Linked DNA regions of Drosophila melanogaster. The gene in region 1 interacts genetically with each later gene. Each region holds a gene or a part of one and is shown in the gene's direction. Other genes may lie near its edges.

Region 1 (4,971 bases):
CTCAGTGTTTAAGCGGTTGACGTACAACAAGATTTCCGACTGAAGAAGATAATCAGGAATTAGATCAATCAATTGGATTGACAACTGTTGATAATACTAGTGTATTTTAATCTTATCGTGGAAATAATTATTAAAGTTTGGTAAAAATTCCAAAAGTTTGCAAATGCGTTCGATAATTTGACCCCGTAATTTGCTTTTACTTTGGGTTCTTAGAAATTTATCTTATCAAAAAGCTCTCTTAGATTGTTAGAAACAATTGAATGTGAAACACCTTAATTAATTCTTATCATTGGGCAACGTCTAATTTAAGGGCGTATAAACCGATTAGGATTTCTTGACCTACGGGTATATTAAAAAGTTGTTTAGATTTGTTTAAAGATAAGATGAAGCAAACAAAACCAATAGCTCACGCTTTATCATCCAATAGTTAGGTCATCTTTTAAAAGGGCTAACCCCATCTATTTGGGATATCAAACTAAAAATTATACTTTGTCCTGAATTTATATTGTTATTGTGTTATACTATTATTACTAAAAAGAAAATAACCCAAACATAATGCAAGGAAGCATGACAAGCTAACCGCGTTCCCTGGTTCAATTATTGGTTAGCCGCCACTATGTTAAGATTCTTAAGGTCGGGAGCCCCCGAAATCGCATTCGCGAGCCAGCTGAACCAACATTAGAACTCCCATCTAGCTGTCGCTAGGAAAGAGAGCTGGCGTAGGCAACGTCAGCAGAAGTTGAGATAGAGGGCCACATATGGACCCCACATATAACTAGTTACTGCGCTTATCAGTGCTTCCGCCTGTGACCACCATTAGAGGAATATAGAACCAATGTACATAACTAGTTCCAGTGCCTTTGCTAATTGTGGCGGGCGTGGGGCAAACACACCCACTATCTACGTACATATGTACATCTGCACTTCTGCACATACGTATACACCTACCTTGCATGTGGATGAGACGTCGGTTTTCTTGCAGAAATTGACCGGTGCCAGTCCGGGCAGATAGAAGGCCTGTGTCGGGGTCGCAAGGTGCAAGAGAACGACGCCCAGGAGCGGCAGAAGTCCGGATAGCAGGATCATCTCGAATTGGGGTAACCAACGAACGGCAGGAGTAGCAGACCTTCTTCCTTTACTTGTACGGGTTGTAATCACAACGTGGCCGTGTCCGCGATTCTCTGCCACACTTTCCGGATCGGCGGGCCACGCACAAACCGTACTATCTGGATATTTATCGGAATATACGGAGTTTTTCGAGTGTTTTTACTACGTTTCCTCTTTTTTGCCGAACGTCAGCACTGTAGCAGCGTTGCCACCTAGTACAGCTGAGAGGGCTGCCAACTGGCTGACAAAAAAACTACCAGCATTTGCAAAGCTAAATATTACCGCGAAAACCTTTAGCTCTTATTATTATTACGTGCAAAACGAAATTTGGTAGACTTAATAAACTTTTATATTTAAATTAATTAATTCCCCTGTTCAGTAAGCGAATGCAACCAATATACACACGTATACGTGTGATACTTCTAAGATATTACTATTTTTATCCACTGTTTCTTAATATAGTAATCAAATTTTGTTCATTTGTTAGTTTTTTACCTACGACTCTTAAGTCAAAGTATTCGATTATTTAGTTCGTTCGAGGTTTTGCTTCCGTGCTTATCTTTGAATATGAAAATTTTCGATAAGCACAATCATTCAAATTTAACGATTGATTTTTGGGGAGGCAAACGCGTTTTAATACAAGTAGTAAGTATTTTGGTCTTATCGTTCCTGACTAATAATATATTTTGTCAAATGGTTGCACATTTCCTACGCATTTAAGAATATTTAATTAATACGTTATTAGATTTAAAAATTATCGATAGTTCGAATAAAGCAATCGAATAGGTGTCGCCTTTTTCATCGAAACTCAGTGCTATCAAATAAAAATCGACATTCGTTTCAGCTCTATTTCAAATCGGAGACACAAGAAATATATTGCCTGCACTTCCCGAAGAGCAGATAAAGGTTCTGCCACCATTAAATAGGCTTATAATAATAACTAAGAAAATCGCCGTTAGGAATCCCGCGCTTTTTTACCGTTCCCGAAAAATAACCAAACAACAATGTGAGTAGAATGAAGAGTTCTACTGAACGCGCTTGTTGTGTGCGTGTGTGCGAAAAAATCAATTCTTTTGACAATCAAGGTGTTGCAACCTGTCGAAATAAAATCGCCAGCTTCAGCGGAGCAGCCCAATAACTTTAACTCTTTTGTCTCCACCATTTGCAGCCGACAGACTAGTGTTGTCTAGTAATTACGCAAAAATTCCATCACCCACACAGACGCACGAGCTGCAGAAAGAAACGGAAAGTGAAGTAGAAATCATATAGAGAGGAAAAGAGCGAAGACATGACTTCCGATATCGCCATGCAATTGATTGCCATTTTGGAAAAGACGGTGTCGCCAGGTGAGTTTCCCCACTGCTACAAACGTGTGTGTATAGATCCGAAAAATATGGATTTTTCTTCGATTGGCGGGAGGGACGCGCGTTATATGTTGCGCAGGGTTGCAATAGGCGCTCGCATATGTTTGGTTGCTAGGGGCCTCCGCACACATGTGCATCCACGTACATACTCCAAGGGAAACTTGGCGGCGCGTCTGTATGTATTCGCAATGCTTGCGCTCCTACAATTAAGGATGTACGAACCGCCTGCGACATAACCTCACTAACTCTAGGAATCGATGAGGCGTCGCTTCGGAGTCACCACCGTATGCTTGGCGGCCAGTTCTTCCGGTTGCTGATAAGGAATGCCTGCAAACTTGCCCCTTGCCTGAAGATTTTATGCTCCACCGCTACAATTCATTACTAGACCTTACTGCTTAGCTCTTCATATGCACACACTTCTTTCACCATCTATTGTATTCTTATTAAACAATATTCTCACTATATACGCCTTGCCTAAAAGTTCCTATCTTGCCTTCACATTCCCAAAAGTCAATTGTTGTAAAATTCAATGGCCTGATACCAAAGCTTTAAGCCGACCCAAAATGGTGGGCGTGTGTAGGCCCACAAATAAAATCTTTCGTTGACATAATTGGAAATTAAAAATGTCTAACCAACCAAATGACGCATTTTCAGACAAAAATGAGCTGCTATCGGCGAAGAACTTTCTGGAGCAGGCGGCGGCCAGCAACCTGCCCGAGTTTCTCAAGGCGCTGTCAGAGATACTGGTGAACACGGCCAACAGTGCGGTGGCGCGAATGGCAGCCGGTCTCCAGCTGAAGAACCACCTGACCAGCAAGGACGAGAAGGTCAGCCAACAGTACCAGGATCGCTGGCATCAGTTTCCCAGCGAGATCCGCGAGTTGATCAAGAATAACGTAAGTTACATACGCTGATGTTGAAACATATGACTTGTACAATTGGCACTGAATAACTGCGACTTACTTTCAGATCCTGGCTGCTTTGGGTACCGAGAACACCCGACCCTCCTGCGCCGCCCAGTGCGTGGCCTATGTGGCCGTGATTGAGCTGCCGATAAACCGCTGGCCCATGCTCATCCAGACACTGGTGAACAAGGTGGTCAGCGAAGGATCCAGCGAGATGCATCGCGAGTCGGCGCTGGAGGCCATTGGCTACATTTGCCAGGACATTCGTTTCGGCGTCATGGAGAACCAGTCGAACGATGTGCTGACTGCTATTATTCACGGCATGAGAAAGGTAGAGCCGAGCAATCATGTACGCTTGGCGGCCACCACGGCCCTTCACAACTCGTTGGAGTTCACCAAATCGAACTTTGAGAAAGACATGGAGCGCAACTTCATCATGGAGGTGGTGTGCGAGGCCACTCAGTGCCAGGACTCGCAAATCTGCGTTGCCGCTCTGCAGTGCCTGGTGAAGATTATGACCCTTTATTACCAGTACATGGAGCCCTACATGGCACAGGCTCTTTTCCCTATTACTTTGGCGGCCATGAAGTCTGATAACGATGCTGTAGCGCTGCAGGGCATAGAGTTCTGGTCGAACGTCTGCGATGAGGAGATAGATCTGGCCATCGAAAGCCAGGAGGCCACTGATCAGGGCCGCGCTCCGCAGAGAGTGTCCAAGCACTATGCTCGAGGTGCTCTGCAGTTCCTGACGCCTGTGCTCGTCGAGAAATTAACCAAGCAGGACGAGTGCGATGACGAGGACACCTGGAGCCCGGCGAAGGCCGCCTCCGTTTGCCTCATGGTGCTGGCCACATGTTGCGAGGACGAGATCGTGCCACATGTGCTTCCCTTCATCAAGGAGAACATCGAGTCACCTAATTGGCGATTCCGCGACGCAGCGGTAATGACTTTCGGCTCCGTGCTGAATGGATTGGAGACCAATACCTTAAAGCCGCTCGTGGAGCAAGCCATGCCCACGCTCATTCGACTGATGTACGACTCCAGCGTTATCGTGCGCGATACCATCGCCTGGACCTTCGGACGTATTTGCGATGTGCGTAGTGGTGATTTTTAAGGTGATTCATATTGTCATACTAACCTTCTACTGCTTTTTCCTGACAGATAATTCCCGAGGCGGCTATCAACGAGACATATCTTCAAACGCTTTTGGAGTGCTTCGTGAAGAGCCTAAAGTCAGAGCCGCGTGTAGCAGCCAACGTGTGTTGGGCCTTCATTGGACTTTCCGATGCAGCTTGGGAGGCAGCGGTCACCAACGACGGAGAGACTCCGGAGACGTACGCCCTGTCCCCGTACTTTGAGTACATCATTACCCAGTTGCTGGAGACCACTGATCGATCGGACGGAGCTCAAGCCAATTTGCGATGTGCTGCTTATCAGGCACTTATGGATATGATCAAGAACTCTCCCTTGGATTGCTACTTGGTGGTCCAGCGCACCACGCTGGTGATTTTGGAGCGCTTGAACCAGGTGATGCAGATGGAAACGCAGATTAACAATCACAGCGATCGTCATCAGTTCAACGATCTACAATCGCT
Region 2 (5,584 bases), on another chromosome or scaffold:
CAGAGTATGTATATTAGCTTAAATTAAGTCCTACTTAATCCTGATTAACTATTCTACTCCGCCGTTGGAACCGTATTCAGAGTAAGGCGTCGTAGCCTGCCCAATACGAAGATTTCGTCTATAGCTTTTTTGGCATAGAATTTTTGGTCCTCGCTGAGTTTGCGGTACTCAAGGGACCAGGTCTGTGCATAAACATTGGACTCCTCGACCCCACTTGCGTCGAGTGGTAGCGCGATCTCGGGAATGTCCGGAATACGGGCTGAAGCTGCAGTGGAATCTCCGCCGCTGACCGCTTCCCCCACAAAGGCGGCAACATCGGCAGGAGAGGGTTTTGTTTCCAACTCATCCGACATGGATTGTTGGTCATCATGTTCCTCATGATGCTCCTGGTCCGTCTCCTCCTTTCTGTCGTTGGATTCGCCCTTGGAATTGTAGCAGCAGAATGCCTGTTTCTTGAGATACTGCAGGTGACACCGGTGACGCCTCAGGTTCGTTGTGGATTTGTGGGTGAAGGACATAATGCTCCTGCAGCCGATGCAGAACAGTACGTGCTCCAGAAAGCTACCATCGTCCTTCTTGATCTTGCGATACACCCGCCACACAGTGCTCCGTGTGCTTTTGTCATTAACAGCCAATTGGTAGACGCCGGTTTCAATTTTCTCGTGAATATCATCGAATTTTAGCGGCATCTTGAATTATTTTGCTATTTTGTTTTGTTTTGTTCAACTAGTCTTTATCATCCACATCGATTGTCCATAATCGTGCTAATCGATTGCACCGCCCAGGTGGCAACCCCGATTAGAGGCACATTGCGCCGGCAATTTTACATATATCATTTTGTTTTTATTATTTTTTAAAGTGTTTTCTTGTTTTCCTACCTGGTTTAAATGGCGGCATTGTGCTTAGACTTTCTCGGCTTCCAGGTGGGGGTTGGAATATTGTTGTTTGGGTTAGTAGCCGGCATACTAAATGGCTTTAAGTTTCCAAACAGGAGGCACTGAAGAAGATGCGAGATGTGGACGACAAGATTATATATGCACTAAATGCCCTGCCAACGGAGTCGTTTAAGGGTCAAGTGAACAGTGAAAGCACCTGTCGCGATCTGTACGCGAAGCTCCAGGAGTCACACTTGGCCAGGGTAAATCCTGATTAAGTACAACACACGGGGATCTTGACAGATAGCTTCTCCTTGCAGCAAGAAAGCATACGCAGTTGCATAACAATTTCGGCTAGTAATCTGAAGAAGCTAAGGGAAAAGCGGGAGACCCAGCCGGATGATGTGGATACGGATAACCAGTTTAGGGCGGAGCAGCGCAAGGTAACCGAAATACCTAAGTCTTACTCTTAACTGATGCCTATGATCCTTTCCAGCTGCGGGTTCTCCAGGCCGAGCTCAATGTCGAGGACATCATTAAAGATCGTTCCTACAAGACCTTCAATGAACGATGCCGGTCCTATTTTCATGCTGGCCAATAGGTGGAACAAATGCAATGACTAGTTTTAGGTGGATTTATTAGCAGAAGTCTCATGGAACTGCCAAGCCAGAAGGCATTTACATGCACTCCGTTGTATTACAAGTTGTTTACAACAAGTACATAAATATAACAGTCTAAAAAGCACAAACTTTATTCGTCGCGGGGCAGGTTGTATGTAGCGTAAACCGATCCGACGGGTACGCATTTTAGGTTGGCCAAGGCTTCCAGGACGCGCTGGGTGGCATCCTTTAGGTCGTTGTACTCGTGCAGCAGTTCAATGATCTTCTTTTTCTGACCCTCTGACGTTTCATTTGTCTTATTGGCCGTTTTGCGCGACTTTTTCTTATTTTCTTTCATGTTTAAATTAAATGCAATTGGATTGGAATTACTGCTATCGGTTGATATCGCTATCGATAGCGCGTCAGCTGTGTGCATTGCATTTTGACAGTCCGGCATCCCCGTTCCTCACAACGTGTAAAATCTCCCGTCCCCTTGCATGATTAAGACGAGAAAAGGATTCTCCGGAACAGGTAAATTGTGTTCTAATTACGTATCTGAAGGCGCCTCTTCTAACCAGGAGTTGTGGTGGCTCAAAGAAGGGCGTAACCGGAGACCAGCGAATGGCTCATGCTGGCTGACCTAAGCCCGCACCTATACGCACAAACGCAAAGCAGCCGTGTGTGCACATATGTACATACACGTACAATGAAATGTGAAAGTGTTGTGATTGTGCATTTTGCCAGGAAAACTGAATAGTTCATTAAATGTGAACCTATTATATGTAAATTATTCGCCTGACAACGTAATCTTTATGTTTCCGGAAATGTAAAATTAGCCTAGAGCAGGCGCTAAGCGAATGTTCAGTGGTTACAGGGCGTAATAATCCTGGTGGGAGTGGATGAGAACATTGGGGAACACCTAGTGATGATTATAAACGTTCAATTCAACTAGTTCGCATTCCACGACGACCTCTACCTATATTTTCTAGATTATTTGCACTTTCGTTTAGCATTTGATCACAGTAGCGGCGAAAATCAAGTCGCACTCACTTTTTATCTGAAACCTGTCTTTACGACTTAAATTATTCTGTTCTCAAAGAAATATTTTTTTTAACTATTTCAAGCTTTTGAATTGCCAAGACGACGAAATGTCTGCCAGCCACAAACAGCGTTATAAAAATGCCGCCTTGGACTCCACAGAGATGCGTCGTCGTCGCGAGGAGGTGGGCATCCAGTTGCGAAAAAACAAACGCGAACAGCAGCTCTTTAAGCGACGCAATGTGGTTCTTGAGCCGGCTACATCCTCAACATCAGCCGGAGTGGAGAGCAACACCGATAACGAACAGCAGGTATATTTTGATCAAGTTTGGCCTGATAGCATAGTCTTAACTATCTCTCCATTCCAATGCAGGCTGCCGACATGCACATGGCTGACAGCAGCACTGGCGGTCAAAACGAGGAAGCTGCTGGAAGCGGGGCACAGCCATCCGTAATCAACGAGGAAATGATTCAAATGCTCTTCAGTGGACGTGAAAACGAACAGCTTGAGGCGACTCAAAAGTTCCGCAAACTGCTGTCCCGCGATCCCAATCCTCCCATTGAGGAAGTCATCCAGAAGGGGATAGTGCCACAGTTTGTCACCTTTTTGCGAAATAGCGCAAATGCCACGCTGCAGTTCGAGGCCGCCTGGACGCTAACGAACATCGCATCGGGCACCTCGCAACAGACCAAGGTGGTTATCGAGGCCGGGGCAGTGCCTATCTTCATTGATTTGCTCTCCAGTCCCCATGATGATGTTCAGGAACAGGCCGTGTGGGCCCTAGGCAACATAGCCGGTGACTCACCCATGTGTCGAGACCATTTGCTCGGCTCCGGCATTCTAGAGCCTCTCCTGCAGTAAGTTATAAATAATTATATTGATAAGATTGCGCCAAAGTAGGTGTGACTTCTTGCAGTGTATTGAGCAACTCGGATCGCATTACCATGATACGGAATGCGGTGTGGACACTTTCAAACTTGTGCCGCGGCAAAAGCCCTCCCGCAGACTTTGCCAAAATTAGCCATGGTCTACCAATACTGGCACGGTTGCTGAAGTACACTGATGCGGATGTACTAAGCGATACTTGCTGGGCCATAGGCTACCTGTCAGATGGTCCCAATGATAAAATCCAGGCTGTAATTGATGCGGGTGTTTGCCGTCGCCTGGTTGAGCTGCTATTGTAAGTAGTCCTGCTGCGCCATTACAAATTAAAATTACACTTATGATTTGTTGACCTATCCTGGCAGACATCCTCAGCAGAACGTGAGCACAGCTGCTCTGAGGGCCGTGGGCAATATTGTGACAGGCGACGATCAGCAGACCCAGGTGATATTGGGGTACAACGCTTTGACCTGCATTAGCCACCTGCTGCATTCGACGGCGGAAACAATCAAGAAGGAGTCGTGCTGGACAATCTCAAATATTGCAGCCGGCAATCGTGAGCAGATCCAGGCCTTAATCAATGCCAACATATTCCCGCAGCTGATGGTTATCATGCAGACGGCCGAATTTAAGACTCGCAAGGAGGCCGCATGGGCCATTACCAACGCAACCAGCAGCGGTACGCACGAACAGATCCACTACCTGGTGCAGGTTGGCTGTGTGCCGCCCATGTGCGATTTTCTCACCGTCGTCGACTCGGACATCGTCCAAGTGGCGCTAAATGCACTTGAAAACATTTTGAAGGCAGGTGAAAAGTTCCAGACGCGACCAAATCCCTATGCTATTACCATCGAGGAATGCGGAGGTAACGCTATTTATTTTTACTTTCAAATTTCCATTTAAATATCGATTCTGTTAATATTATATAGGTTTGGACAAAATAGAGTATCTGCAGGCGCATGAAAACCGCGACATCTACCACAAATCATTTTACATTATCGAACAGTACTTCGGCAACGAAGAGGAGGATAGCCGGGTGGCTCCCGTGGCAGGCACGCAACAGTTTGAGTTCGATCCGGACAACATGCCCAGCACCGGATTTAACTTTTAGCACCCTACCGCGCAGGACATCGTTTAACTATTCAAATACGAATCCCTCAAGTCCTAAACACACAGAAGCATATGCAACAGGAAGCGAAGCCTTGCCGCCGGGATTTAAATGAAGGCGGCCAGAGCACGGACATGAAAAATAGACCGCATGAGAAGGCGTCTGCCTTGCCCAAGTGCAGTCACTACTAGCATTTAAGGAAAGATGGTCGTTCGGTCGGCTCGTTTCTTTGTTACAATCACTCACCTGCTTATTGTATCAGCGTTTAGTTCTATAATTTTCGAAGTGGTCCAGGACCAGGCATGACGAGATTGCTTTCATTTAGTTCGATTGTACTAATTTAATATGTTATACAGAACCCATTGTATATGTTTTTGCTTTCCTCAAATTGAGTCTGTAAATATTTTCCATTTTATATATATATTTTCCAGCCCAAGTACGATGAGATCCTCACATGGTGTTGTTATACATTCTGATTCATTTGATCATTTTGTTATGCGAATCGCCGAATGTAAATTTGTTTAAATTATAAAGCATTGTAATTTAATTTAGAGGACATCAATAAACAACATCTAGACCACAGCTATGCAGATTGGCATAAGTTTTTATTGAATCTTTAAGCTTATAATATCCTCATGTGTAAATAATTTTCGGAATCCTTGGAAATATCCTAGTGGATTCAGCACCATATCTCTTGACCTATAATACCGACACCATCGACTCCAGTCACGAACTTAGGTGCGCTTGACGAACTGCACCTTGTATGGTTTTGGAGTAAGCGTAATCCCAGGCAGAAGCACCATTGATGGAGACTCTCCCGCCGGCAGGACAACGCTAAAATGCTGCACGATCCGCACTAGAAACGAGAAGATGCAGGCACGGGCGAGGGCATCGCCCAGACAACGGCGTCTGCCCATGCCGAAGGGCATGAAGTACTCGTCCTTGAAGCACTTGCCAGCCGAATCGATGAACCTCTCTGGGCGGAACTCCAGCGGATCCTTCCAGTGCTCCTTATCGAGATGCACTGAACGTAGGCTAATCAGAATTGTGGCATTTTTCGGAATGTCGTAGCCACCCAGCT

What was found. Genes that interact genetically often act in the same process or in processes that back each other up.
Region 2: of Fs(2)Ket (region 1) and Kap-alpha1, changing one suppresses a phenotype caused by changing the other (phenotypic suppression), as found in Drosophila melanogaster (one study listed by BioGRID).

What each region holds. Positions count from the first base shown.
Region 1 is NT_033779.5:20,732,978-20,737,948, forward strand, and holds the start of Fs(2)Ket (female sterile (2) ketel), read left to right. Parts: upstream 1-1,933; 5' UTR 1,934-2,113; exon of another isoform or gene 2,114-2,192; intron 2,193-2,275; 5' UTR 2,276-2,395; coding exon 2,396-2,453; intron 2,454-3,125; coding exon 3,126-3,367; intron 3,368-3,440; coding exon 3,441-4,469; intron 4,470-4,537; coding exon 4,538-4,971. Other genes in the region: TM9SF2 (transmembrane 9 superfamily protein member 2), read right to left, coding at 1-39, 949-1,086.
Region 2 is NT_037436.4:19,805,315-19,810,898, forward strand, and holds Kap-alpha1 (karyopherin alpha1), read left to right. Parts: upstream 1-1,917; 5' UTR 1,918-2,005; intron 2,006-2,598; 5' UTR 2,599-2,622; coding exon 2,623-2,823; intron 2,824-2,885; coding exon 2,886-3,370; intron 3,371-3,429; coding exon 3,430-3,693; intron 3,694-3,760; coding exon 3,761-4,260; intron 4,261-4,324; coding exon 4,325-4,506; 3' UTR 4,507-5,084; downstream 5,085-5,584. Other genes in the region: CG34116 (uncharacterized protein), read right to left, coding at 54-689; Ccdc58 (Coiled-coil domain-containing 58), read left to right, coding at 888-923, 992-1,138, 1,196-1,318, 1,372-1,476; CG14104 (uncharacterized protein), read right to left, coding at 1,626-1,832; Cyp305a1 (cytochrome P450 305a1), read right to left, coding at 5,238-5,584.